4 linked regions of the Lepisosteus oculatus genome follow. The protein of the gene in region 3 purifies or fractionates together with the protein of the main gene of each other region. This does not show direct contact. Links are inferred from orthologs where the notes say so. Each region holds a gene or a part of one and is shown on either strand. Other genes may lie near its edges.

What was found.
Region 1: the proteins of prpf4 (region 3) and serine/threonine-protein kinase PRP4 homolog purify together in Homo sapiens (affinity purification with mass spectrometry; 3 studies listed by BioGRID and IntAct, with this or other methods). This does not show direct contact. The link is inferred for Lepisosteus oculatus from reciprocal best matches to the Homo sapiens genes PRPF4 and PRP4K.
Region 2: the proteins of prpf4 (region 3) and zgpat purify together in Homo sapiens (affinity purification with mass spectrometry; 4 studies listed by BioGRID and IntAct, counting the BioPlex papers as one, with this or other methods). This does not show direct contact. The link is inferred for Lepisosteus oculatus from reciprocal best matches to the Homo sapiens genes PRPF4 and ZGPAT.
Region 4: the proteins of prpf4 (region 3) and cd2bp2 purify together in Homo sapiens (affinity purification with mass spectrometry; 3 studies listed by BioGRID and IntAct, with this or other methods). This does not show direct contact. The link is inferred for Lepisosteus oculatus from reciprocal best matches to the Homo sapiens genes PRPF4 and CD2BP2.

Annotation. Positions count from the first base shown.
Region 1 is NC_090701.1:15,686,123-15,693,981, reverse strand, and holds the start of serine/threonine-protein kinase PRP4 homolog, read right to left. Parts: upstream 3,013-7,859; 5' UTR 2,962-3,012; coding exon 2,903-2,961; intron 1-2,902. Other genes in the region: oocyte zinc finger protein XlCOF6, read left to right, coding at 6,448-6,945. UniProt on the Homo sapiens protein: Serine/threonine kinase involved in spliceosomal assembly as well as mitosis and signaling regulation. Connects chromatin mediated regulation of transcription and pre-mRNA splicing.
Region 2 is NC_090711.1:13,476,168-13,483,619, forward strand, and holds the start of zgpat (zinc finger CCCH-type with G patch domain-containing protein), read left to right. Parts: upstream 1-4,432; 5' UTR 4,433-4,540; intron 4,541-5,300; exon of another isoform or gene 5,301-5,398; intron 5,399-5,625; 5' UTR 5,626-5,662; coding exon 5,663-6,294; intron 6,295-7,041; coding exon 7,042-7,175; intron 7,176-7,452. Other genes in the region: arfrp1 (ADP-ribosylation factor-related protein 1), read right to left, coding at 378-459, 1,607-1,689, 1,807-1,894, 2,090-2,183, 4,191-4,288. UniProt on the Homo sapiens protein: Transcription repressor that specifically binds the 5'-GGAG[GA]A[GA]A-3' consensus sequence. Represses transcription by recruiting the chromatin multiprotein complex NuRD to target promoters.
Region 3 is NC_090719.1:267,753-275,122, reverse strand, and holds the start of prpf4 (U4/U6 small nuclear ribonucleoprotein Prp4), read right to left. Parts: upstream 3,009-7,370; 5' UTR 2,925-3,008; intron 2,868-2,924; exon of another isoform or gene 2,724-2,867; intron 1,942-2,723; exon of another isoform or gene 1,847-1,941; 5' UTR 1,822-1,846; coding exon 1,659-1,821; intron 1,468-1,658; coding exon 1,281-1,467; intron 1,167-1,280; coding exon 1,079-1,166; intron 983-1,078; coding exon 903-982; intron 295-902; coding exon 201-294; intron 1-200. Other genes in the region: anaphase-promoting complex subunit CDC26, read left to right, coding at 4,810-4,890, 5,182-5,367. UniProt on the Homo sapiens protein: Plays a role in pre-mRNA splicing as component of the U4/U6-U5 tri-snRNP complex that is involved in spliceosome assembly, and as component of the precatalytic spliceosome (spliceosome B complex).
Region 4 is NC_090699.1:1,139,912-1,147,018, reverse strand, and holds the start of cd2bp2 (CD2 antigen cytoplasmic tail-binding protein 2), read left to right. Parts: upstream 1-4,087; 5' UTR 4,088-4,196; intron 4,197-4,944; 5' UTR 4,945-4,945; coding exon 4,946-5,020; intron 5,021-5,379; coding exon 5,380-5,500; intron 5,501-5,582; coding exon 5,583-5,740; intron 5,741-7,107. UniProt on the Homo sapiens protein: Involved in pre-mRNA splicing as component of the U5 snRNP complex that is involved in spliceosome assembly.

The sequences.
Region 1 (7,859 bases), on a different chromosome or scaffold from region 3:
GAAGCTTATTAGTTAATTCACTCGGAAGCCCCTGAGCCATTTTTGTTTCTTATTGCGAAAAGCAGAACCAGAGTTTGGATTGAGGCTGCCCTGCCAGCCATGTGGGTTACTTATGTGGCAAGGCAAATACACCCTTGATGACCTTTAAATAAAGCTCAACCTAGTAATGACAGACCTTGTGTGTTATCGCCTGGGCAATCAATCCCAGACCGGACTTCTAATTTATAAAGGCAAATGGGGGAAGATGAAAAAATTCACCAATGGGATTCGTTTCTGAATTTGTTTCAAGAAAAGGTAGACAATTTAAATGAATGTGCGACACAATATCAATCCTGGTTTTTGCTACAAACACTCTCTATTAAAATACGTTTAATAAACGTGACAACAGAACCAGAGGAATGCGGGTGTCTATTGCTAGCTAGGGACAAATGTCTTTTTTGCAACCTCCATGTTCCTAAATTGTTCCTGCTCTGAAGAGCGTCATTTCATTTTCAGACCATGTTCATCTGCTAGTGCACATAGTTGCAGACTTGAATACTGGCTAATAAAGTCAATTAAAACAGTGGGTGAACATTTTCTACATCATCTAGATGGGGCTACACATTGGTGGTGGTGGAGAGTCCCCATTACCTGTAAGCACTTTGGGTGGAGTGTCCAGAAAAGTGCTACATAAGTGCAAGGAATTGTTTTTATTAACAAAACGAGCATTAGTACCCAACCTAAAAACACCACCTCACAGATTCTACACTAGAGATTTCACTATTAAAGAAAACTATCACTTCATCGCATGACTGTTTAATAAACATACATAAGATAGTCAGGATAGTCAATTAAAATAGTGATTACACTTACTACAAATGGAGGGCACCAATAATTTTTGTGACCACAGAAAGACTGCACAATATACTATATACAATTACTATGTTACAGTCATCCTTTTTCACAGCACTAGATCTACACAGATCAGTCCCTCCAGAATATAGCAACTAATAAATGTCATCATACTCATTTGTGTGTGTATTTAGTGTAACTCCACAAGTACGTTAAGCAAAATACTAGAACACAACTGGATAATACAATTTGTGGCTTTGATATAATTACCAGACCAACTTAAAAAAGCCCCAAGTTCAAATTGTCCACAAGTTTCAGGAGGAACTAGTGTCTTGAGAATGTCTGTGCATGTCTTCAGCTTATACCATGAAATGTATAATCATACATTACGCCTATTTCAGAATATTGTCATTTTTGAGTCACGAAATCTGGGTGGCTCTTTTTAAAGTTAAGCGATTTCGAGATCACGTTCATTTCTTAAAATTAACCAACCATAAAGCAGGTTTTGCAGGATTTGGAAATACTGTTGTTACATGCTTTGTTGGTCTTGAACCAGAAACGTGCATTTACAAATGTATTCCTATCAATTTTTATTGAACGATTTACTTATTTACATTACAGTCTTACCATGATAAAAAAAAGAATTAACCAAACAGATAGTATATAAGGTCACTTCACGTGAAAGACGCGTGAAAAGAGCGCACTTTTCCTTAGTATTTTTCTAAACCTGCCCAACTGAATTACTAGAGGATTTTGGAAACTAAGATCGCTCCTTTTCAGTGGTCAGACTGAGGTTCGGGGTGCAAATTATTGCTTTATTAAAACCTTAATTTAACAGTTTCAATTGTTAAAAACCTAACACCTCACACTTTGTCAAAACACCAGCGGTGAGGAATAATCAAACTTTCAGATTTGCGCCTGGTGAAAGAACATTCCCAGATCGCCTTTGTCATCAATTCACAATCGAAATGATCTTTACTGAAACCCATTTAGTTCTGTTTTGCATAAATCGGTCCAGGTTTCTGCAAAGAAGAGCGGGGCCATTGATCTGCAGATACGAACTGAGGCAAGAAAACCGTCTGCAAGACACCTGGATAAGGTTTTGACGTTTTTTTTTCAAAATCGAAACCCATAGCTAAGGTTAGCAAGTGACGATCTAACTCCCGAAAAGTTTTTTTGGTTAGGTTCAGGCAATAGAAGTATCCCCAATCTGGAAGAACCGACCAGTTTGCGGCTTGATTCGCTTTACGGGCGTTAATAAACAATCGCTGGATTATTAAATAAATCGTTAAAAACCCGAGATGTTACTGATATGGCTTGATAATACAAGAAGCTCCGGGATGCTTTAAGCGTAAACACCAAATCCATGATTTTCGGAAGTTGTGATCATCTACGTTAAAACGGCCTACAGGACGGCAAAAACAAAACACGCTCTCTAGTACCAAAAAAAACGTGGAGAGGACCGAAGTGTAGGCCCCGATTTTTTTTTCTGCTTTTGAAAAAAAAAACACAGATCGCGTCGGCGTGCAAGACGTGAGCAATCATTTGCCCGAAACAAAAATAAAGGCTGAATCCAGCTGCAGGGCGCGAAGCCACTTTGTCGGATGGAGGCACGATGTGCTCTGTTGTTTGTTCAGCACAGCAACACGGTTACTAACACAGCAGCGAGAACAGACACCCGCTGGGTGGCGGATCAACTATCCGGCCTCAGTTTTCTAAGCAAGTTCTCGCCGTTGGAGCTCGTCCGTGTGGCAGATGGCCGTTCCCACGCTTTACGGAAGATCCCGATTTCCGAAAAGCGAATGCGTGTCGATTTCCCCTATCACACAAAGTCAAAGTTAGCTGTTTTCAACCGGGAACACTGAACTATCCCCCCCACCACGTTTCCCCATCTCGCACGCACTTACGAAACGCAAAACTAAGAAGCAACAACACGTCTGTGAACACCACTGCTTCACGTATACATAGAAAAAAAAACCTTTACCACCGTCACCATCCTACCAAAACCCCGGCATTTAGCATTTCGTCCTCTTTTAGCGTACAAAACTAGAATATTATGGTTATTTCTTACTCTAGCTCTTTGCCACTGTCCAAGCTCTTTCCGTCCACCTCCGTCTCCATGTCGGCCATTTTCACCAGCGAGTGCGGCGACTGCGTCTGCGCACTCCGCGCACCAGCTACAGCAAGGGAGCGTCGCGGTATTACCACCTCAACGTGAGTCACCCTCTAAAAGGGTGCATTTAACCTTCGCAGCTCGAGTAGGGACACCCCGTTTCACGAAGTCCTTCGCAATATGCCCACCATTCAAATACTAAGTTAAAGTTTTATAATTATATGGAAGTTAAAATAAAAAGAGCAGGGTGCCACTGTGTGACCCGAGGGGTCTGATCATCTTGAAAACTTGCAGGCGTCGGAAACGGGACTCCAAACTTATACAAACCGCAGCTGGACTTCAGCTGAAAAGTTGCCTTTTCGTGACCCAGTGTAGAGTCTTAAGAGGACAGGAGGGGTCCCTAGCTCTATAGTCTAAGATCGAGTTGCGTTAAAGATATATTAGCAATAATGTAACATTATTAGTACTGTAATAATACATACATATAATAATGTAGTTTTCGTCACTGTAAGTACGAACATGTTCTCAATTTACTCAACTGGTTAAAAGAATTGTAAAAAATATTTAGAATACACGTGGATATTTGTGGTTTAACTTAACCACAACGTAAACATAAGATGGGTTTATATAAACCTGAAGTATTCAGAAAACAACGGCATAATGAATTAATTGTTCTCACTGAGACACACCATAAAACACCTAAACCACACATTTTCTAACATTTCCAAAACAATCACAATACTCATCGTCGTCAATTCCTCTACGTGCCGTTCTAGTTATGAACATTTTTAAATGAGCCCTGAGGTTGAACCAGGAGCCCGCATAAAAACTACGGTACTTCCTGGAAGTAATCAAGAATAATAATAGTAATATGGACTTAAATTGGTGTGGAAGTGGGAGTGTAGGTCTCCCTTTATATCTCTGGAAGATATAAAATAAAAGTAAATAAGATTATTGAAACAAGCATGGCTGTGGAGCACTAGTGATTTTGGAGTCTGAACATAAGGTAAGGAAATATAAGTGGAAAAAACAAACGATGAAATAATATCTCAGATTTAGTTATGCCATAGGGTGAGAATGCCACGTGATCGCAACTAAATTAGTGTATTATGTTTAAAAAGTTTTAGATTTCGTACTGCCATTACAGCTAGAATAGTACTCCGTGAACACACGCAGATATATGTGCTTCCAAGACACTGCGGATCAGTTTACACACAGTTCTTGTACACAAAATGCTTTGCAGCACATTATCATTTATGTTAAAAAGGTGTACTTCGTGTGTTGAATAAAGAATTTACGGTTAGTGAAAATATGTTTTGAGTACTGTATGCACATCCTTTCAATTACTGTATCTTGTCACCTGCACGGCGACGAAAGAACGATCTAAAGTATCTCTTTGCATGGGGAAGAAAAAGTAGCATTCATAATAGATATTAGGAATTTGATCCATGTGATATTTTTGAAGTGAAGTTTTAAGAAAGTCTTAAAACCTATATTATTTTATATTATCGAGCCCAGGTTACCTAGAACAGCTATCATTTAAGGAAATGAGATTACTGTCTTTTAATGCTGTTACATATAACATTCTATAATACTTCAAATCGTTTAGCATGTCATAATGAAAAATCCCTTATGTTTATACGAAAAATAGTAAAACGGGGTGGGACACTGTTATTTTCTTTTGATACAGTTAAATGGCCCCTCAAAATCGGTGTAATCAGTCTGTCAATTTTGCTTTGCAAGTGCATCTTGGTCCATCCCAGGCATAGTATTCGGTGGATGTTTTCTCCTTTGTTTCAGTATAGTTTTAGAAAAAAAAACACTTTAGCATAATAATGTCCACTTAATTATGGTGGTAGTGCAGTTTAGATGATTACTTAGATATTTTTTTTAATTGATGAATTGGAAAAAGTGGTACTTGGCCTGTGGTCATATTTCATGTTGCTATCAGAGATATTTAATAATAATAATAATAATAATAATAATTGCTTATACTTATATAGCGCTTTTCTGGACACTCCACTCAAAGCGCTTTACAGGTAATGGGGGCACCCCTCCACCACCACCAATGTGCAGCATCCACCTGGATGATGCGACGGCAGCCATTGTGCGCCAGAACGCTCACCACACATCAGCTATTAGTGGGGAGGAGAGCAGAGTAATGTACCCAATTCACAGAGGAGGATTATTAAGAGGCCATGATTGGTAAGGGCCAATGGGAAATTTGGCCAGGATACCGGGGTTACACCCCTACTCTTTTCGAGAAACGCCCTGGGATTTTTAATGACCACAGAGAGTCAGGACCTCGGTTTTACGTCTCATCCGAAGGACGGCGCCTGTTTACAGTATAGTGTCCCTATCACTATCCTGGGGCATTAGGACCCACATGGACCGCAGGGTGAGCGCCACCTGCTGGCCTCACTAACACCTCTTCCAGCAGCAACCATAGTTTTTCCCAGGAGGTCTTTCCCAGGTACTGACCAGGCTCACACCCGCTTAGCTTCAGTGGGTTGCCAGTTGTGAGTTGCAGGATGATATGGCTGCTGGCCACCCTGTGATTTAAAAATATCTGAACAAGTTAAAGAAAATATGATTATGATTTTTCTATTTGCACACTGAAATGACGCATTACCATTCCAGTTTTTCGGTGTCTGTAATGTGCTGCTCATGTACTGATAGAGTTCCATAGGTGTGGTCACTTAACTGGTCCTCTTCACTTGCCTCAAGAGGTGAGTTTTGATTTAATCTGTACAAAGTTTGATGGGGAGGCCAAGGACAGGAGAAATGAAATTGGAGAAGCAGAACTATAAACACAATAGACCTGCTCAGTCGGGGCGGTGCGGTGGCTCTGTGGCTAAGGATCTGCGCCTGTGGCTGGAAGGTTGCCGGTTCGTATCCTGCGGCCGACAGAGGAATCCTACTCCGTTGGGCCCCTGAACAAGGCCCTTAACCCCAACTGCTCCAGGGGTTATAAATGGCTGACCCTGCGCTCTGACCCCAAGCTTCTCTCCCTGTCTGTGTGTCTCATGGAGAGCAAGTTGGGGTCTGTGAAAAGACAATTTCCTAATACAAGAAATTGTATATGGCCAATAAAGTGATCTTATCTTATCTCAGTAAAGTGGTATCTTTGAATAAATCTCCTTCCGAAACCATTTTGGTTTTCTCATTTATTTTTCATACCTTGAGACAATTTCTTCAGTGGTGCCGTTGCAAATGATGTATAAAAGTATGCCTTGACAATAGCAGAAGCTGTTGAGGTCGTGTCTCACGGACACTCAGCTCACTAGGTAGCTCACACAATAGGCAGTTAAGATTAAAGAGCATTAATTTGTCAATTCAATGTTATGAAAGCAAAAAGGAATATTAAGGCAAATGAGAAGACCTATGTAATGGAGTCAAGATTTTCTGTGGGGAGAGAGTATTCCAGTGTCCTTGAAGGAAATATATTTGAATGCCTTTTTTTGTGCACGCATGCAGTTGTCCTTCCCTGTTGCTGACTGAGGATGAGCCAGCTGAAGTATGCATACCAGGATATTCAGCCAGTGGCCCTGTGCATTCCTGAGGAGACCACCACTTCCAGGTTGTACTCCAGCACGGTAGAGGGGGTGGAAGGGCAGGTTTCCAGTCTGGTGGAGATGTTCCTCGTGGAGGTCTACCGGTGTCGAGTCTGCCAGTTCACCAGCAGCCTGAAGAGCAAGATCAGTTCCCATGTGATCGAGCGCCACGAGCTGGGCAGGACATGCCTCCCAATAAACTGCCTCGAGAAAGACGAAGGGGATCGGCCGGTGGAAGAGGAGGAGATGGGTCGGGGCTCCCCCTACTGTGTGGAGGATGAACTGCAGTCTGATAGCAAGGAGAGTGAAGACAACATGGATGTGAGCCTGGAGCGGATGTCCTTCCTGCTGCCCATGTATGGGATGTTGCACAATGTTAGCCCTCAGTCATGTGACATGGGTCTCAGTACCAACAGTGATGGCCTCCATGTGGCACACAACTGTGAGGTGAGTCCAAAGTCTGGGTAGAATATTCACCCATAGCAATAATACACACCTGGTGTCTAGCAGTTTGTTCATCTTCTGCCTAGATGACCTACAAGATCTTGTTATACCGCTGTAGCAGAAGTTTGTCTGTCCAGGTTTATTCAAATTAGTTGGACAAGTATGAAGTATTCAATACCTAGATCTGGCTTGTCTAGGTATTGAAGGCATTTGCTCACAAATTCTGAAATTAATCAAACTACTTTTCATTTTAATTAGATTTCAGCTTTTCTGTCTGTAGTTTAGCCAATCTAATCTTAGCTTTGACTCAGTGGTCAATACCGAAGCAAAAATGTAGAACTATATTTTTTTGTCTTCATTTTGGCTATGGAAAAGCCTTTCTGCCACAAGCACAGTGTATCACCAATCTCCAAGGTCATAGAGTACCCTCAGGAAAGCAATTAAAGTAGGAGAGAGTGATTTATTTTTTATCTTAGAAGTGACGCTTAGTGCGCTGCCAATTTCAGCCTTAATTACTGAAATGACGAAGAAACGCATAAGGATATAAAACATTACTCAAACTCAAAAAAGTTCTAGCTGAAGTTTGACAGAAGAATGAATCATAACATTGCAGCCAATATAAATTTTGCTTTCATTATTCAGGGTGAATGGGAGGAAACTCATCGCTATATATTATAGACAGAATGCCAAAAACTGCATTGTTCCTACCACTATTAGCAGTATAGGTGTTTCATGAGTAGATTTTACAGTGGGTGACCTCATACTGCATCTTATAGAGTAAGTTTTATTGTTTTTTTTAAAGAATTGACATTTTTTAAGGTGTGGCCCCAGAATTTCTACCCAGTACAAGCACTTTAGGAATACTTCCTGAGTTTCTGATGCCTGGTTATGCCCAAGGCATACACTTCACCAGCCTC
Region 2 (7,452 bases), on a different chromosome or scaffold from region 3:
TGGAGCTGGGGGCCACAGTCTGGAGAGGAGCTGGAATAGTGGAGCTGGGGGTCTCAGCTCTGGAGTGGAGCTGGGGGTCACAGTCTGGAGAGGAGCTGGAATACTGGGGCAGGGGGTCTCAGCTCTGGAGTAGAGCTGGAATAGTGGAGCTGGGGGTCTCAGCTCTGGAGTGGAGCTGGAATACTGGGGCTGGGGGTCACAGTCTGGAGACTGTAATATACACTGTGCTCTGAAATACTTTTCCAGCATCTCTTCTGTGGTGCAGCCATGGTAATCCAGCCTTTGTGAAAACACTTCTCTCTCTATAAAACAGCACCATTCCTAGATACAGTACCTGACTAGCAGACGTAAGGACAAAGGCTCCCTGCTGTACTCACCAAAGGCATTCTTCGATTCAGACAGCCGCTCTTCATCAGTGGAGTCGATCACGTATATCACCCCATGGGATTCAGCGTAATACTGCACCAGGAGGGAAACAGATCTGAATCAACCCTGAGCAGAGTCTGCATGAACACCTTTCTCCCCCTTTCCCTTTCTTGCAATATGTCTCAGTGTTGAACAGGGATTAATTTTTGCCTCAGTACACAGTGGGAAAAGACTGCAAGACGCGTCAGTAAGGCCACATCTGGCACATGGTGTACAAGTTTGTGTTCCACATTACCAAAAGACATTGCTTCTAGGGAGTTTTCCCAGGAAAGAGTAACCAGGTTAGTTCCTGGTTTTAAAGTAATGTTACACTGGTCTTGAAAAAATGAAATTATGAGGACACTTGATTCATGCATTTAAAATCTTTCAGGTTATTAACTCAAATAATCAAGTTGGAAAAGTGGATACTGAAAGGATGTCCATTCAGTACAAAGTATGGAAGTATTTTTTTCAACAAGTTACCCATTACTGTTGTTATAATGAAGCATCAAATGGTTCCATATGTTCTTATATATAGGTCCTATGACAGCTTCCTTTTGGTAGCAAGGCTCTGGGAGGTGTGCAAAATAAATGACGGTTGTAATTGGGCTCAGGAATTATATATAACACACCCTAATAAAACAAAAACTAAAAAAGTTTTAAATAACATTTAATACCACTGATAACCCTTCAGTGACCTCTAGTGGTCTTAATGGTCACTGCAGGTGTCTCCATGGGATAGCCTACCACAATTGTGAACAGCAGTGCTTCATGCCTCACATTGCAAAGCAACTGATAAATATTTAGGAAGAAGATTCTGTGAATCACAATATGAGCTATTCAGTTGCAGATTTTAGCTATACTATATATTATAGCCAGGGCCGCATGGCAGTGCAGTGGTTGGCATTGCTGTCTCATAACGCTGGTGCCCTGGGTTTTAATTCCGGGCCTGGGGTGCTGTCTGTGTGGGGGTTGTATGGTCTCCTGTGTTTGCGTGGGTTTCCTCTGGGTGCTTCCATCTCCTCCCACAGCTCAAAGAGATGCTGGTAGGTAAACTGGCCCCAGTGTGAGTGTGTGTCTCTACGTGCCCTGTGATGGACTGGCATCCCATTCAGGACGTATCTCGCCCATGGCCCCCCAGCAACCCTGAATTGGATGAGGCAGTTAGACCAGTTCAGGCAACCCCACTGCCTTGCCTTACTTTGTCCCACAGTGACTGCAGCTCGTCTTGACCTCCCAGGTCCCAGAACATGAGGCGCGCCTTGCCCACATCTATTGTGCCAACTGATCAGGAAAAGGGAAGGACACACAGATCAGTCTGATTTTAAAACATTGGCTGTACTGTCTAGATATATAAATATACTGTACAATGTATTTCATACAAAGAGGATCAAAACTTACTGTTCAAGCCCACAGTGGTGGTGATCTTGGACAAACTCATGCCCTTATAATTCTTGCTGAATTTAGTCTTGGTCTGCTCCAGAAATGTCTATAGCAATAAATGGAAACGGATGAAATCACTCAGTTGGCAAAATCTCACTGTCTAATAATACACACACACATATATATATAATGCATTTGCAAGTGTACAATAAGAGAATCACATGCAGGATTTTATATTGCCCATAAATCATACTGTCCATAGGTCTAAAAGGCATTCACTAAATTCACTAAAACAACTTACAGTTTTCCCTGCATTGTCTAAGCCGAGGATCAGAATGCAATATTCATCCTTCTGGAACATGTATTTGTACAGACCCGATAATAAGGTGTACATCCTGGAAAACAACAACCAAAAAAAACAAAACAAAGATCATTTAAAATGCCCATTTGGACTTTAAAAATACACATTAACAGATGCTTGATATTTGAGCAAGATCATACGCATTGCTTGATACTTTAAATCAATGCAGAGTAAAGATGTAGAGAAACGAGCCAGTTAATACATAGACAGGTAGGTGTAGATAGATCCACAAGGTAGGTGAAGAAGTCCTTTTTGGATAAGAAATCATGTGCGAGATAGGATTTATTGTAGTGAGAAATTTACCTTTTTTCCCCCAAAAAGCACAAAACCAAGTTTGCTAGCTAGCAGAAAGTAACTTGGTAAGTGTGGCTAATGACAGCCTTCTTACACAGAGCACAAACAGGATGGGAGACATGTGTTGAACTAGTCTTTCCAAACAATCAAGTCATAATATGGTATTCTTTGAAGAAAGTTCAGGTGGGCAGCTGCATCAGCATGCGTAGGCTGCAAAGGAACAAGTAAAAAGTTTATTCCATGCTGAAAAGAGAAGAAAGAAAACACAACAAATGAAGAAATGAAGAAATGGTGACATGGACTCACAGTGGTTACCACTGCAGCCTCAAAGCGCTGGGGTCTAATTTATAACAATGATCTAGATTCCGGCACAGTTAGTACCAAAGTCTGAAGATTATTTCAAAATAGGAGGATTACCAAACCAAATTGAAGATGAAAACACAAAACAGGAAGATTCTGATAAAATGCTCAACTCGGAAACATCCTGTCCTATGATGTTTAATCTAGACAAGTGCATATTATTACATGCCGAAAGTAAAAATGCAGTATAGATACAAAGTGAGGAACAACGGACTTGAAAAAGCTAAAGAGAAAGTGTTTGTTGACATTTGTATCTCCAGTTACAGTGGGCAAGCAATAAAAAGGTCAACAGAATATGAGGGGGAAATTATTAAAATTTCAGGATTTAAATCGAGGGATGATATGTCAAAACTATGCAATGCACAAGTAAGACCTCACTTAGAACACTGCATGATGGTCACCATGTGACTAGAAGTCTAGTGCGCTTCTGAAAATGTTCTAGAAAAAAGAGCAACCAGGTTCATTCACATTAAAAGGATGCCCTACATTTTCGGGACAAAGTGCTGAACCTTTTTAGTCTCAAAGGCAGATGACAATGAGGGGGACCTGATTTCAGCCTTCAAAATCCTCAAAGACATTGGCAGTGTCAGCCCAGTGTATTTCTTCACAATAAACAGAGAAAGACAACCCAGAAGTTACAAGAGGAAACTAGATTGGAGAACTTTTAAAACTGAGAACAGGATACACTTTATGGAAGGGCCATTATATGTATTATTTTATAGAGTTGATAATGTTATTATTATTATAACTATTACGTTATAACTATAATAAATATTATAATGTATACTCCGGCCTCATCAGGGAACGACTGGATGAGAACCCAGGATCAATAGCTTCTAGTTACCAAACGGGCGAAATGAGAAGAATCGTGACGTTAGTTCCGTGCTTCTGATTATATCTCGGCTAATGTTTACCTTTGTGTCTGGGATCGCCCGCACTTTACTTGCTGTTTAAGGTCTTAATAATCCAGCTGAGATGGAATTGAGATGATAGATTTCACTTTATAAAACCGTACAAAGGCGAATAGCTTACACACTCTCAGGTTAATATAATTGTAAATGCTAGTTCTTTTGTATTGGGGTGGATGTATTTAAAAGTGCGCTGTTAGAGATGACTGGTATTCCATCTAATTTTACTTAGGACTAAAATCCTTGTATACAGTACTGTCAAAATAATGAGCTCAATTACATTATAAAACAAACAAAACCAACTGGTTTGCAGCAGTACAAACCACAGGCTATAACTATTAACTCTGAATCAACATCCCTGTAAAATAATAATTTCTCTAATCCGTCGCTCTTTTCCTTTTTTGTTACCATCCTTAGATGTTAAAATAACCATACATGCATTTGAAAACTGCTCTTATAACACATTTCCTTGAACTTACCTTTCATTTGCGACCAAGTCATCATCCGTAAATAGGAAGTGCTTACCGACTGGCAATGCACTGTAGGAATTGATGTTTTTTGTTGGTTTCACCCCCATGGCTGCTGAACGGATGTCCTGAGCTTGAAAACTACAAATCCCAGGATACCATTGGAAAGGAAAAGGCCGGCGTGTAGTTTGCAGTGGTTACTGGGAATTTACGTTTTCACTGGTGCTTCTAAAACTGTAGATGTGGTCCAAATACACTACAATACCCACAATTCACAAATATACTCTAATAACTTCCTCTCAAAAATGGAAGGATATCAAATTGTCATTTAAATGGTGACTGCAATATCAGAACCGGTAAATGTAAGGTTACATTGCTTTTCTTATACTACATACCTATCAGTAATGCAGGATTTCTGTATGGAAGATTGTTAGCAACAGTTAGCAACTGAGCAACAATTTTTTTTATTTTTGTATTCCAGTTTATATATTTTGCGATTATACATCCTGATCAGTAGTTACCGTAAATATATTTAAAGGCATCAAACGCAAGAGATAAACATAGTTTTGGTATAAGTAACAAATCTGTGTTTTTAAGGCTCTCTTTGTATGTATCATTTAGTTCTTCGTGAATAAACGATTAAAAGTAAACAGTATTTTAAGAAATAATTTCTGGTTTAATATTTGTCTCCGTTACATGTTATAGATGTTATAAATGTTATTTTTCGTATGTGTAATTAAATTACTAAAGATATTGCTTTACAATTACACATTTTTGAACGGCGCCTTAATTAAAACTAGCAAAATACTTTTAAAATCAAAGCAATTGCTTTAAAGTAGCAATAAATAGCACTTATTGCATGGATTGCTTATCTCAGTGTTAAAGCATTTTCAGAGACAAATACGCTAGTTTTAGTACCCAATTTTTTACCTAGTTTAAACAGAGGTTCATACGGACGTCTGTGAAATGTTGACATCAGAAACCTGCAACTTAAGATGTGAAATCGATCGTTTCGTCTCTGGGATGCGTGACAGGTCTCATCTCCGTGTTAATTTATTCGGAAAATTTTATTGCTTTATTCTTGCGCTGAAGGCTAAATTGTCGGATTTCTCATTCTTCCAGCTTGCATCCCGGAGTAGATTGCCCAAGGGATTTGGAAATATCAGCTTCGGGAAAGCTTGGTCAGTTTGAGACAAAGGAGAAGAAGCAATCTCATAAAGGTATTTATGGGAGAGGCAGCAAGTGATTGGATTTCCTCTACTTTGAACATACTGACTCAAGCTTTTCCGCATGACTGTATTAAGACGAATGCTCGCCTGCTGTGTGCAGGGTGCCTCAAAGTGCAGGGATAATCACGGTTTTCCGTAGTTTGAACAGGAGAAACAGTTGGAGGAGGGAGAAACACATCTCCAGGTTAAAGCGTTTGACCTCTCCTCTTCCTCGCCAGACCGATTCCTGAATGCCGGCCTGTCCCCCCGGTCGTGATGGACGAAGGTAGCTTGGAGGCGGCCATCGAGACTTACCATGCCCAGCTCCAGCAGGTGGAGACGGCCCTGGGCGCCGGGCTGGAGCCCTCCCAGCAGTCCGACCTCCTGCAGCTGAAGGAGGACCTGCTCCAGCTGATCGAGCTCACCGAGGCCAGCCTGGTGTCCGTGAAGAAGAGCCGGCTGCTGGCCAGCCTGGAGGGCTCGTCGGCCTGGCCGGCGGAGCCCCCCGCGGGGCAGCCGCCGGCGGGGGACCCCGGCATGCGGGACGAGTTCGCTGCGTTTTACGCGGCGGTGAGCGAGCCGTCCTGCGCCGAGCCTTCCACCAGCGAGAGCGCCCCTGCGGCCCAGAGATCTGGAGGAGGATCCGGCAGCCCCGGATCTCAGCAGGCAGCTGAGGAAGAGGAAGAGGAGGAGGAGGAGGAGGATGTGATGAGTGGCATGAAGGTCTGTGCCCCTTACCGCACCTCCTGGGGAACGCTGGAGTACCACAACGCCATGGTGGTGGGCACAGAGGACTCGGAAGATGATGACCCGCAGGTCCGGGTTCTGTATGTCCACCCGACCCAGAAGTCCATGAAGCCCTGCCCCTTCTTCCTGGAGGACAAGTGTCGCTTCATGGACAGCTGCAGGTGAGGAGCTGCAGATTGCCACTGGGAAACTGCATCTGTTCCCCTCTGGATGGGTTCAGAGGCAGACTCGCACAACCATTGTACCCCTGAAGCTGAAAATATGATGGAATGCATTGCAGTTGTTTTAGCTCTTGCATACCTTTCTGTGATTTATTCCAAAGAATTCAAATTAAAAAATACACAGCACCTCCTTCTTTATAACACACTGGATTCTTTATAGCTTCTTGGCTGCTATGTAACACAGACAAAAAGAAACATATCCTAAAATAATGAAGCATGTTCACTCGGAGATAAGATCGCTTTATTGGCCATATACAATTTCTTGCACTAGGAATTTGTCTTTTCACATACCCCAACTTGCTCTCCATGAGACCCACAGACAGGGAGAGAAGCTTGGGGTTAGAGCGCAGGGTCAGCCACTTATACGGCACCCCTGGAGCCGTTGGGGTTAAGGGCCTTGCTCAGGGGCCCAACGGAATAGGGTTCCTCTGCCGGCCGCGGGATTTGAACCGGCAACCACTGACGTGGATTGAAGTTGGGGTTAAAGCTGCACGCTGACCCCTGTGATTGCCGTGCCTTTAGACAGAACCGTTGTTTATAAATGGAGCAAAGCCGTTGTGATTCGGCTGCTCTGAGCCGGCGCTCCGGATCGAATCGGAATTGGAGTGCCCGCGATACCGAGCATTCCCGTCCGTTCCCACACTGTCGTGAATCTCTCCCCGAGTTCGTCCTTTTCGCCTCCTTCAGGTTCTCCCACGGAGAAGTGGTGTTGGTGTCCGAGCTGCGGCCTTTCCAGGAATCGGACCTCAGCTCACTCCAGGAGGGCTCAGCCTGTTTAGCCAGGCATGAGGATGGCATCTGGTACCCGGCCAAAATTACAGGTTTGTGGTGATCGCTCATAGGCCCTGAACGCACGTGAGGTACTCATGAAGTCGTCCGCACAGTGGACTGGCCAGCTTGCACTCATCATTGTTTGTCCAGCCATTCTGAAACATACATTCAGGTAACAATTTCAAAAAATGAGACAACACAGCAATATTGAGCAGTGTTGGCATCTAACAGCAGCATGCAACGGCCTAATCTCACCAAAGCCTTCTTTGAAGGGCTCTCAGGGTTTGGTGGATTGTCCACAAATCTAAGTCTTTTCCCCGTGTGGCC
Region 3 (7,370 bases):
AATCGAGTTTTTGAGTTTGATTGTTCAAGTATTAAATCTTTACTAAAGGAAAATCAAACAAAATCAGGAAACTCAAAAAAATCTTTTGTACCCCCCCCTCCCCCAACACAAAATCACAAACCAGAATCGCAAAGCTACATCCTCCAAAAAACGTGAACCTGCCACCCTCAGCTCCCGCCTGGCTTCCAGGCCCCACCCACCCGCAGTGACTTGTGGAGCTCCTGCTGCCGCGCGGTCCGGGTGGATTCTGGGATCTCCTTCTGGTCCCGTGCTGCCTCCAGCCGCTGCATTGTCCTGGGAACACAGAGCACACAGCGGGGTGACCCTGCCACCAGCCACGCCAGAGACTCGCCAGCCATGACACTGCGACCACAGGACCACCGCTAACTGGTCAGGGGCTGTACAATACAAAGTACTCCTGCCGGACAGACCACTGCCCCTCAATCACTGCCACTGACAAACTGAGACAGTCAGGAATCACTTCAACAGGCTGATAAAAGATGCTGGACTGCAGCCATGCAGTTCCAGAGGCTGACGGTGCTGCTACTCCGAGACAGAGAGGGGCTACACGGTCGGGGGCGATATGAATTCTTTTATGTCTCCACAGCTGAGCTTCCAGTGCGCTTCCAATCAAAGCCTCCGACAGCAATCAGCAGTGTTATATTAACAGCAGCCAGCCCAACCTGAGACACCCAGACAGGCTGCACTACATGTACAATCAGCACATCCTGCAACAATGCGCACAACAGTTCTCACGAGAAGATATAAAACAAGAGTTTTCTAGATGAAAAGTATTTAGTGTGCAGGTTAAGTATAACACAACCTGCTACTCTCTCATGCTGCAGTGCATCTAGAAGCAGGATTAGATGCCACTGAGGAGTGTAAACACCCTAGTTTCTCACCTGGGTAGGGAGTATCGGGCCAACCACAGACGGGCCTCCTTCAGACTGCCTGGGCCCTCATGGTACCAGGTCTGCTGGAACTGAGAACATGAGAGACAGAGAGGGAGGTTATTCAGACTAAAGAGCAGAGAGTGAAAAGAATAAAAGAATCCTGTCCTGCCCAGCTGCTCCTGTACCTCGTCCTGCGACCGCTTGGATTTGTCGTCCTCCTTCTTGGACTTCTTCAGAGCGTCAGTTCCCACCACCGACAGGATGTTCCGCAGCCTGGAGGAGAGAGGAGGCTTCAGCTCAGCCGTGATCTCTGGGGCTACGCTCCCCGCAGACTGGCACCACCGTCACTGCGCCCCCCTCGGCTGACCTCTGCCCTGCTGCACCCACCTCTCCCGGCGCTCGGCGGGCCCCTCCCCGAACAGCGTGATGGGCTCCCCCAGGGCGCGCAGGCAGGCCTTCACCTCCGCGTCATCAGTGGAGACGTTGATCTGCCGAGCACGCTTCCTGCGCTCAAACTCTGCCAGGACTTCTGCCTGACGTTCATTCACCCGCTCCTCCAGCTCCATAGACTCGCCTGAACACAGACAGGGCACCGTTCAGCGCCGGGCACACAGGCGGGGCCCCGCTCGGGGCGCTGGCACACAGGCGGGGCCCCGCTCGGGGCGCTGGCACAGACAGCCGACAGCGTCAGTGACACGCGGTAGCTACAGGCCCCGGCCCAGTGGGGGCTGTGCTGTGTGCTGTAGGCCTGAACTGCGCACTGACCGCTGCAGATGTTGATGTTGCCGGCCTCGATGCCGGCCTTCAGGGCCTCCCTGCTGGCGCCGCGCGCATCGCCCCGGCCCAGGCGCTCGCGCTCGCGCTCCTCCAGGCTGCCATAGAAGATGCGCGACTTCTTCACCGCGGGCACGTCCTCCTCGTCCGACATCGTGCTCGAGCCACTGGACCGCTTACTGGACACAGGGAGAAGGAAGAGAGTCGAGAGCACGTCTCCCCAAACTCCTGGACAGCACCCTCCGCACGGCACACAGCGGGGTCCGGATCACAGCTACACAAACACACAGACGCACAAACACACTTTCACCCAGGACAGGCGAGAAGGGTCCCCAGGCCGGAGGTGTCCTCTGTGTGAACACTGAGAACAGGGCACTGGGAGTCAGCAGGTCTGTGGTCACCTGTAACATCGCTGTCGACCCAAGAGTCATGAAATACCTTTCACATGAGACTTATCAGGACAAAATACTGACCTGTAACATCACATCACATTTTCTGTCCACTATTAACAAATGAGAGGATGTAAAGCAGCAAAATGAACGGGTTTTGTGCTGTTATAGGTGTTTAGGGTGACAGTGGCCGCGTAAACTCACAGGTCCACAGGTCCTGTAGCAAGGGTGTGTAAGGACTATGCACAGCATGAGTCGATGCGTTTAATATAACGTTGTTTATTTTGAGTATAGTTGATTTGTACTGTTAATGTATTTTTTAAGTGCGTGTAAAACATAACTGCTTGGATTTAAATCAAGTTTCTAAGAAATCAGAAAGTCTTATAGTTAACTATGTTAAACGGCAGTGGGAGCCAGACTGCAAACAAGGCAGCAAAGGTTAATAACTGTCGGCCCAGAGACATCAAGACCGATCGCATTAGTTTTCACGTTCAGCCAAATTAAACGTTGAATTCCTTAAGAAATGTAATAAAAGTAAGTCTACTTTCCCATAGAATCACAAACAGGCAGCGCAACGAGGAAACAGGACGAATTCAAATATTTCTACGCAACTCTGAGGATATCACGAAGAGAGGAGAAGCTACTTGAAGAAAAGTCACATCATTACTGTGTCCAGGAGCGGTGTTTCCGAACAGCAGTGCGACAGATATCAGCGCTGAGACGGAGCAGCAGATCTGAGGACTTAAACACGTGTGCAACCCTGCAGACCTGACCCCAGCTCTGCTCCAGGAACCGTGGACCCCACACACACTGCGGAAACTGCCAATTAATCGCTTCTATTATGAAAATGTATTGAAGTTACAAATACCTGAACTCCTAGACGAAACCACCGCGATGCTGGCGAGAGGAAGCGAGTATTGCACGAGCGCTCTCCAGTGGCAGGCGGACAAACCGATACCGGAGCCGGAAATTGCGTCACTGGTTGTAGTAGCAACCCATTCCGGACGGACAGCGCGTTCTGTCGGCCGGGAGGCCTAATAGACTTAAGGAATGTATTTCAAAACATATTTTTCCAACTAAATGTAAAATTCACCCATCGGTTAGTCTCACATATATTACAGAAGATATATCTATCACTTGAGATGGTGCATTGTTCTGACACATCATGTGCCCCAATATGAACCGCTAACTCATGAAACAAGGGGCTCACTGTAGTCCTATCTGGGAGATGTAGTTCATTGTACAAAGGAAGCAATCTGGATTAAGTCTCATTAGACTACAAATCCCATCTACAGGGGGTGCGCTTCCTTTTGTGGTTCACCGTTCATTTCAGCGGGGTCTATATACAATATAGGAGGTATGTGGGGTTTAGGACTACTTTACGTCCATTATTTACTGTATGTTTGCAATAAGAAGAAGTCCCAATTCCTGTAAATGTGTTTATTCCGTGCCTGGCGGCCTGTGAAGGAACACTTGTAATTTGAAGTTTCGAAACTTGGTTGACTGTTGCTGTTGTCCTCCAGACCTGCTTCTGCAGCCGGGCCGCTGGCAGCCTCTTCACCGCACGAATGACGACGCCCGGCTGCCTTTCTCATTTTGTCTTTATTTTGTTTTCAGCAGCAACGCCGGTTCGTCCGGGACGAGTGAGCGCAGGCTGGTCGGTCCGCGGAGAGCGCCGTGCGAGAGCTAGGTACCTCGGTTTGAGCTGCCTCGTCAGATATTCCCACCTGTAGCAAAGTATTATCTCAGTTAATGAATGTTACGAACACTTGGTTTTATTATATTTAGAGGCTAAGATTAATGCAAGTGCTGCCCCTTATAGGCACCGATGTTTATACGTTAGCGAGGCAGTATGCAGGATAGGCCGGCTAATTACTGAGTTCTGAACAGCACAGTTTGATAACTGTTAAAATCCTACCCTAGGTATAATATATTCTGAAATTATTAAAGGATTAATAAAGTAGTTTTGAAAGCAATAAAGTGCATTAAAGTAATAAGATAAGATCACTTTATTGGCCATATACAATTTCTTGCATCAGGAATTTGTCTTTTTGCATACCACAGCTTGCTCTCCATGAGACACACAGACAGGGAGAGAAGCTGGGGGTCAGAGCGCAGGGTCAGCCATTTATACGGCGCCCCTGGAGCAGCTGGGGCCTTGCTCCAGGGGCCTTGCTCAGGGGCCCAATGAAGTAGGATTCCTCTGCGGGCCGCTGGATACGAACCGGCAACCTCCCAGCCACAGGCGCAGATCCACCGCTCCGCACCTCAGGAACACAGTAGTACAGCAGACAACCAGACAATCTGTACGTGTATTAGCTACACGAGAAAGGCGTGCATGGCCCTCAGCTGTTGCATTATAAAAAAATCATGTCGAGGAAACATTCTGCAAGTGCCACCTAAAAAGTAGTGTGTTGCATTCTTTTATCATAAAATATATGGGAGTCTGAAAAACCTGTCTGATGTGACAGATGGACAGTAGATAAAACTTCCTGTTTCCTGTTTCCCAGAGTTTGGGAGAAAAAAGTTTTATTCTGTGAGCTTTGCCCCTTGACGGAGGACCCGTCCAAGCGTTACAGCAGCTGTCAGTTCAGTTCTCGCCGAACCGCGAGACCCGAGTGGTACTGGTGGTACCGGCTTGCGCGGTGTTGCTAGTTGCTAAGTGGAAGTCTCCCTGCCGCCCCTGTGTCCAGGACCCGGTTCCCGTGCTGCCGGAGGTGGGGTCCAGTCCCCGGAGCTGCCACACGGCCGCCATGCTGCGGAGGAAACCCACTCGCATCGAGCTGAAGCTGGACGACATCGAGGAGTTCGACAGCGTGAAGAAGGAGCTAGAGGTAGGAGAGCCGCTGGAGGAGCCTGCTGTGCTAACACTCCCGGAACCTGAGGACGTGGGGATATAACGTTAAGGGCAAGAACAGGCCCTCCGAGATGTGTTTTCCTGTGAGTGGTTCTGTCACTGTACGTGCCTGATTATTCAAGACCCCAGCCTCTCGGCCCGGGCAGGCCGAGCACGCAGGGCTGCAGCGAAGCTCGAGGCTCTGGCAGGCTCCCTGGGGCGGAGGCGGCGGATGGCGCTACTGTATTTGAATGAATTGACAGAGCCTGTTTGCCCTCCTCGCCCACAGAGCCGCAAGAAGCAGCGGGAGGAGGTGGATGTGGTGGGCGTGGCCAGCACCGGGGACATGGGCGGGGCTACGGCTGGGGGTGCCGAAGGCAAGACCAGGGAGCAGATGATCAATGAGCGAATTGGGTACAAACCACACCCCAAACCCAACACCCTGCCCTCCCTCTTTGGAAATCTGCAGTTCTAGGGGCTCCTGGGACACTGCTGTGGTGCAAGTGGACTGGCTACACACAGACCATCTTTCAGACTGTTCCATCACCAGCTCCAGCAGGGGGGGAAGGCATTTGTAGCCAAACTGTTTTTAATGCTTCCATAGCTGGACTGTTTTTTCTGGGAGTGTCTCTTGGTGCTGGATGCTGGTGTACTGACAGCTGAACCTTGGCTAACAAAGCCACCAGAGTAAAGTGAAAGAACTGGGGGTGGCACAGTGAGAGAAAGGGGCATCTCAGTGGGGAGCTGGGTCCTGGCTCCAGGGCACTCCATGCGGAGGACTGTACCACCGCTGGCCTCTAGAGGGCGCCAGGATGCAGCCACCAGTGTTCTGAGATTAAAATGCACTGGAAAATATTGCCGATACCTTTCTAGGAGCACTCAGTTTTTATGGATTTGAATGGAACTGACATTTAACAACAATTTTCTTTCTGAAACAACAAAAAACTTTAACAAGCTTCAGTGAAAGAATGATAAAAGTTTAATATCACCAGATGGCAGTGAAACAAGAGAATGTCTCCCTCGCCCAGGCTCAGGGTAAAAAACAACAAGGCTGTGGAAGCAGTGTCTGTGTAGACTGTGGTTATATGCAGTGTTTTATTTTTTAATCGTACAAATAAAACCATCAACATGTCGTGACCCTGTTCTTGTCAGGCAGCTCAGTCTTTTGGCCTCACAGCTGTGTGCTCAGAGGCTCTCATGCAGGGCTCAGTAACTCACAGGAAACGGCTCGGGTCAGCTTTCTCGTACCATTTATTGATCAGTTACCTTCTGATTGGTTACAACAGTACAAGTAGATATGAGCACATACTGTAGATGATTGCTGGCAGGCTGATGAGCCGGGACTGCGGTTCACCGAACTGGTTCTGATCCCAGAGCTGGAACCCGGACTGTCACTGCACAGCAGCTGGAGCCTTGCGAGGTGCTTATCGGATCACACGGGTGGAGCAAAGAACACGTCGCCTGCTCATTCCTGCCCACATAGAGTCACTCGGAGCAGTGTACTTTGTACTTTTAAATGTCCTGTTTCTTGTGTGCTGGATTACATACAAGAGCCAGCAGTTGCTGAACTGTGCAGTGGGAATCCAGATTCCTGCTCTGTATTGCCCCCAGAACTGGTACAATCCACACCTTGGTAACACACATCATATCGAGGCTTTTGGTACAATAAAAATTAACGGCACATGGCAATTAAAAAAAAATTAAAAATAAAGTGACACATGAATCTTAAGTTCATCTGCACAATATGACAGACACCTTGCCTGCTGGTCCTCTAGAGTTAAGCCTGGAGAGTGTTGCTCAAACCCCAGACTTGCAGGCCCCCCTGCCTGCCAGGCCAGAGCAGAGTATAGGGCTAAAGGTTGAACAGCTCCAGCCTCAGCACTTCACTCTGATGCCTTTAGAAGCAGCTGCCTGTCTCTGGGGCAGCTGCAGTTAACGGCTTGATTTTGAAACTCCTGGACTGAGTGTCCTCTGAGGCTGAAAGTTTGAATCTGTAGAGACAGAGTGTAGCTCTGTTGACACTAACTAGTGACCCAGAATGCCAGAACTGTCGGCCCCCTGCTGGTCCAAACGTCTTGGCGAGTCTGGTCTCCCTGGAAGCAACACAACTCACTCATCCTGGATTGTCGCCACAGCAAGGCTGCTCTGGGTTTAAATTTAAATTAGGCCACAGTGCAGTAACATTTGGAGGGACGGCAACTCTGATTAATACACGTTACTTCATGTACTGCAGTTAATATGCTTCTGCAGCCCAGTGGCCATGGAGGGGTTCAGAGACGGTTCCTGATGGAGACGTCGACAGGCACTCCGTGCTACAGTAAAAGTTCATGTAACTAGAAACTCACCCTGGAGTAGCTCAGGCTTGGGTTGGGAGTCTGACTGGCTACTGTGCAGCCTGGGCTGTTCTGCACCTGCTGGCCTGCTGAGTGTGAAGTGTTAAAAGGAAACGAGAACACTTAGCAGTAACGCAGAACACTC
Region 4 (7,107 bases), on a different chromosome or scaffold from region 3:
GACAGGCTCACTGTCTGTTACTCAGGCTGGGACAGGAGATCACACACTGTATTATTATTGAGAGACAGGCTCACTGTCTGTTCCTCAGGCTGGGACAGGAGATCACACACTGTATTATTATTACTGAGAGACAGGCTCACTGTCTGTTCTTCGGGCAGGGACAGGAGATCACACGCTGTATTATTATTATTGAGAGACAGGCTCACTGTCTGTTCCTCAGGCTGGGACAGGAGATCACACACTGTGTTATTATTATTGAGAGACAGGCTCACTGTCTGTTCCTCAGGCTGGGACAGGAGATCACACACTGTATTATTATTATTGAGAGACGGGCTCACTGTCTGTTCCTCAGGCTGGGACAGGAGATCACACACTGTATTATTATTACTGAGAGACAGGCTCACTGTCTGTTCCTCAGGCTGGGACAGGAGATCACACACTGTATTATTATTATTGAGAGACAGGCTCACTGTCTGTTCCTCAGGCTGGGACAGGAGATCACACACTGTATTATTATTACTGAGAGACGGGCTCACTGTCTGTTCCTCAGGCTGGGACAGGAGATCACACACTGTGTTATTATTATTGAGAGACAGGCTCACTGTCTGTTCCTCAGGCTGGGACAGGAGATCACACACTGTGTTATTATTATTGAGAGACAGGCTCACTGTCTGTTCCTCAGGCTGGGACAGGAGATCACACACTGTATTATTATTATTGAGAGACAGGCTCACTGTCTGTTCCTCAGGCTGGGACAGGAGATCACACACTGTATTATTATTATTGAGAGACAGGCTCACTGTCTGTTCCTCAGGCTGGGACAGGAGATCACACACTGTATTATTATTGAGAGACAGGCTCACTGTCTGTTCCTCAGGCTGGGACAGGAGATCACACACTGTATTATTATTACTGAGAGACGGGCTCACTGTCTGTTCCTCAGGCTGGGACAGGAGATCACACACTGTATTATTATTATTGAGAGACAGGCTCACTGTCTGTTCCTCAGGCTGGGACAGGAGATCACACACTGTATTATTATTATTGAGAGACAGGCTCACTGTCTGTTCCTCAGGCTGGGACAGGAGATCACACGACAGGCTCACTGTCTGTTCCTCAGGCTGGGACAGGAGATCACACACTGTATTATTATTATTGAGAGACGGGCTCACTGTCTGTTCCTCAGGCTGGGACAGGAGATCACACACTGTATTATTATTATTGAGAGACGGGCTCACTGTCTGTTCCTCAGGCTGGGACAGGAGATCACACACTGTATTATTATTGAGAGACAGGCTCACTGTCTGTTACTCAGGCTGGGACAGGAGATCACACACTGTATTATTATTGAGAGACAGGCTCACTGTCTGTTCCTCAGGCTGGGACAGGAGATCACACACTGTATTATTATTACTGAGAGACGGGCTCACTGTCTGTTCCTCAGGCTGGGACAGGAGATCACACACTGTATTATTATTATTGAGAGACAGGCTCACTGTCTGTTACTCAGGCTGGGACAGGAGATCACACACTGTATTATTATTGAGAGACAGGCTCACTGTCTGTTCCTCAGGCTGGGACAGGAGATCACACACTGTATTATTATTACTGAGAGACAGGCTCACTGTCTGTTCTTCGGGCAGGGACAGGAGATCACACGCTGTATTATTATTATTGAGAGACAGGCTCACTGTCTGTTCCTCAGGCTGGGACAGGAGATCACACACTGTGTTATTATTATTGAGAGACAGGCTCACTGTCTGTTCCTCAGGCTGGGACAGGAGATCACACACTGTATTATTATTATTGAGAGACGGGCTCACTGTCTGTTCCTCAGGCTGGGACAGGAGATCACACACTGTATTATTATTACTGAGAGACAGGCTCACTGTCTGTTCCTCAGGCTGGGACAGGAGATCACACACTGTATTATTATTATTGAGAGACAGGCTCACTGTCTGTTCCTCAGGCTGGGACAGGAGATCACACACTGTATTATTATTATTGAGAGACAGGCTCACTGTCTGTTCCTCGGGCAGGGACAGGAGATCACACGCTGTATTATTATTATTGAGAGACAGGCTCACTGTCTGTTCCTCAGGCTGGGACAGGAGATCACACACTGTATTATTATTATTATTGAGAGACAGGCTCACTGTTCCACAGGCTGGGACAGGAGATCACACACTGTATTATTATTATTGAGAGACAGGCTCACTGTCTGTTCCTCAGGCTGTGACAGGAAATCACACACTGTATTATTATTGTTAATATTAGAATTGAGGGACACTGTACAGTCAGGGGGCCATCTACAGTCTCTCGTGTGAGGAGTCTGTCTTGTCACAGATCCCAGCCTGCCCTCCAGGAGACACACACACACACACAGGGAGAGCAGCTGGGGGTCAGGCCCTGGCTCACGGGCCCAATGGAGTAGGATTCCTCTGCGGCCGCAGGATTCGAACCAGTAACCCCCAGCCACAGGCACAGATCTTGAGCTCCAGAGCCACCACACCATCCCGCCCCAATACAACGCCTTCCTTCGAGCAGTCAGTGGTACAATCTGGGGTACAGTCTGGGGTTCAGTCTGAGTTATAGTCTGTAATGAAGCAGTGCAGTCTGGGGTACAGTCTGGGGTACAGACTGGGGTACAGTCTGAGGTACAGTCAGGGGTACAGACTGAGGTTCAGTGTGGGGTACAGTCTGGAATACAGTCTGAGGTACAGTCAGGGGTACAGACTGGGGTACAGTCTGAGGTACAGTCAGGGGTACAGTCTGGGGTACAGTCTGGGGTACAGTGTGGGGTACAGACTGGGGTATAGTCAGGGGTACAGACTGGGGTACAGTTGGAGGTACAGTCAGGGGTACAGTCAGGTTGTGGAGTCTTCCCTGGGAGTGCAGGACACACTCTTCAGGACACACCTGGAGAAGACCCTGCAGCCGAAACGCTGTGTTTTCTCTCTTCTCTCCTCAGCAGGATTGTGGGAATGGGAAGGCAGAAGCCAGAAATGTATTTTGGTTCTGTCCTGTTTGCTCGTGGCTATGACTGTGATGAGGCAGCGGAGCACTTTGAGTGACACACTGCTCCAGCTGCGGTGTTCAAGGGAACGTTTCCGCAGGTCCTTCCTCCCGGCATATACCCATGCACATTTTGCACATCTTTTATTGTTTGACAGTGACTATGAGCATATTTTGCTTACTCTATTTATTTGATTTTGTATTGCTGTACTTGTTTTAATTTTCCGTCTAGTCCGATGTCTGTTCTTGCTCGTCTTGGGCTGGGCTGCTGTAACGCCTCAGTTTCCCTTCGGGATCAATAACTCATCTCGTCTAATCTCTCTATTGTAAAAACCTTCTGGACTGATTTGCAAACTTATATAAAAAAGAGGCGAATATTAATCATATTTAAGGAAACAGACGTGATGTTGAACTTCAATCCCATTGGAACTAAACGAAAATATATTTTGTAATTGACGATTATTATACCGGGACGTTATTCTACTCAGGAAGAGTCCTGTGTCTGAACATAGATGTGAGGGCGTATTTGTAGACTGTTTCGAAATGTGAAAACATGAAAGCGGTGCGGACCTTATCTCTATTTACTCTGTTTAAACGATGTTATCGATATGTTTTACGAACTCTTGTTTATACTGTATTTCCTTTTGTTGTTTAAATACAAAAAAGACTGTGGATCGGGGCTCAGACACGATGCTGTAAGATCTGTATCTTTTCCCAGATCGATGAGCACCAATGAGTCTTTTTTACTGGGGTTACTGGTAATCTCTCTTGAGCGGGCCGCGTCGTGCCTCGAGTCTGAGGCGAAAACGTCACTGTTATGATAAGAGCTAAATTTTGTGAGTTTGACATATGTTTGTAAAATATTTTAAAATATTTTATTTAAACACCAGAAATACAAAAAATGAGACAGAATAATGAAATATATACAGAAATAGACACTTCAAAGCCAGAGGAATCCACAGTTGTAAAAACTAAAAATTATACTTATTAGATATATCTTTTACAAAGGTCTGGCACGGCCGGATCGACATGACGTCAATAATCTGCGACTGTTCCCGTTCTTCTCAAAGGAAGGAGGTTACTTCCTCCCTCGGCGGCGCTGTTTATCTACGTCACTTCCTCTTGTTTGCGCATTGTGGCGCTGTAATAATTCACGTCGTGAGCACAGCTGTAAAATAAAGGTAAATAATATTACATATCAGTACTAATGATAAGCACAATCGTACGGAATTCTCATTGGGTCTGTCCTCATGTTTTTTTCTGTTTGGTGCTGTGAAAGTAACTCTGGATAGTAATACTGTTGGAGCTGTGTGATCATCTCCAGTAAATACTGGAGAGATTCAGAAATTAAAGAGACCTACTGTCACTTCAAAGTACACTTGTCTGTTGGGATTACATTCAGATTGTTATTCTGTGGTTAATCATGTTATTGAATCGTTAAATCAGTCAGTGCGTCTGTATTAACCCCTCTTTCTCTCCCAGTGCAGTGTTAATGTACTGGAGTGTCCAGTCAGTGTGTCTGTATGAACCCCTCTCTCTCTCAGTGCAGTGTTAATGTACTGGAGTGTCCAGTCAGTGTGTCTGTATGAACCCCTCTCTCTCAGTGCAGTGTTAATGTACTGGAGTGTCCAGTCAGTGTGTGTGTATTAACCCCTCTCTCTCAGTGCAGTGTTAATGTACTGGAGTGTCCAGTCAGTGTGTGTGTATTAACCCCTCTCTCTCTCAGTGCAGTGTTCATGTACTGGAGTGTCCAGTAAGTGTGTCTGTATTAACCCCTCTCTCTCTCAGTGCAGTGTTAATGTACTGGAGTGTCCAGTCAGTGTGTGTGTATGAACCCCTCTCTCTCTCAGTGCAGTGTTAATGTACTGGAGTGTCCAGTCAGTGTGTCTGTATTAACCCCTCTCTGCCTTATTCCTCTGTCTCCCTCAGGATGTCGAAGCGCAGGGTGATGTTTGAGGATGAGAATGGAGAGTACAGTCTGGAGAATGACCCTCCAAATAAGAAGGTTCAGTACTCTTTCTCAGCAGAAATACCATATGGTTAATACAGTCCTGAGTAGAGACCCTGTCTGGAGGGTATGAGACTGTATGTGAACACAGTACTGAGTGTGACAGTTTCTCGCTCTCTCTGCGGGTGTGTGTCTGTGTGTTTGTCTCTCTCTGCGGGTGTGTGACTGTGTGTCTCTCTCTCTCTGCGGGTGTGTGTCTGTGTGTCTCTCTCTCTCTGCGGGTGTGTGACTGTGTGTCTCTCTCTCTGCGCGGGTGTGTAACTGTGTGTCTCTCTCTTTCTGCGGGTGTGTGACAGTTTTTGTCTCTCTTTCTGCGGGTGTAACAGTGTGTGTGATTCTCTCTCTCCCTGCTGCAGGTGTGTGACAATGTCAGTGGCCCTGGCTCCAGGTTCAAGGGTAAACATTCCCTGGACAGTGATGAGGAGGAAGAGGAAGAGGGACAGAAGTATGACATGCTGGCCAGTGACGATGTGGAGGGTACTGTCTCACTCTGTCGTCGCCGTGTGAGTGCGGCTCACTCTGTCTGCTCTCTCACTCCCCCGCTGTCTCCCCTGTGCAGGCCAGGAATCGGCGACCCTGGACTTTGACGAGGGGGTGCGCATCACGCCCTTTAACCTGGAAGAGGAAATGCAGGAGGGACACTTTGATTCGGAGGGAAACTACTTCCTCAACAAGGAGCAGCAGATTCGAGACAACTGGCTGGACAACATCGACTGGGTGAGACTGGAGCTGGTCACACCACAGCCGGGCCAGACCGTAGCACTGGGTCACACCACAACCGGGCCAGGCCGTAGCACTGGGTCACACTGGAACCAGGCCAGACTATAGCACTGGGTCACACCACAACTGGGCCAGGCCGTAGCACTGGGTCACACCACAGCTGGGCCAGGCAGTAGCACTGGGTCACACTGGAACCAGGCCAGACTATAGCACTGGGTCACACTGGAACCAGGCCAGGCCGTAGCACTGGGTCACACCACAGCTGGGCCAGGCAGTAGCACTGGGTCACACTGGAACCAGGCCAGACTATAGCACTGGGTCACACCACAACCGGGCCAGGCCGTAGCACTGGGTCACACCACAGCTGGGCCAGGCAGTAGCACTGGGTCACACTGGAACCAGGCCAGACTATAGCACTGGGTCACACTGGAACCAGGCCAGGCCGTAGCACTGGGTCACACCACAGCTGGGCCAGGCCGTAGCACTGGGTCACACTGGAACCAGGCCAGACTATAGCACTGGGTCACACCACAACTGGGCCAGGCCGTAGCACTGGGTCACACCACAGCTGGGCCAGGCAGTAGCACTGGGTCACACTGGAACCAGGCCAGACTATAGCACTGGGTCACACTGGAACCAGGCCAGGCCGTAGCACTGGGTCACACCACAGCTGGGCCAGGCAGTAGCACTGGGTCACACTGGAACCAGGCCAGACTATAGCACTGGGTCACACCACAACCGGGCCAGGCCGTAGCACTGGGTCACACCACAGCTGGGCCAGGCAGTAGCACTGGGTCACACTGGAACCAGGCCAGACTATAGCACTGGGTCACACTGGAACCAGGCCAGGCCGTAGCACTGGGTCACACCACAGCTGGGCCAGGCCGTAGCACTGGGTCACACTGGAACCAGGCCAGACTATAGCACTGGGTCACACCACAACTGGGCCAGATCTTAAAACTGGATTATAGCAGGTCAGACTGTAGACCAGGTCACACTGGACCTGGGTGGTACTGGGGGGTGCGTCTTCTGGTGTGAGTGTGTGTCTTCTGCAGGTGAGAGGGGGCGGAGGGACGGGCTCGGTAGGTGTGGGTGTGAGGGGCGGGGTCTGTAGGTGTGGGCGTGAGGGGCGGGGTCTCGTGTGGGCGTGAGGGGCGGGGTCTCGTGTGGGTGTGAGGGGCGGGGTCTCGTGTGGGTGTGAGGGGCGGGGTCTCGTGTGGGCGTGATGGGCGGGGTCTCGTGTGGGCGTTCAGGGGCGGGGTCTTCTGCAGGTGAAGGAGTGGGCTTGTATTCCAATGAGGGTGAAACTCCTCTAGTACACCGTACGTACACGAGAGAGAATCTGGAATGGCGTCAATGACCCT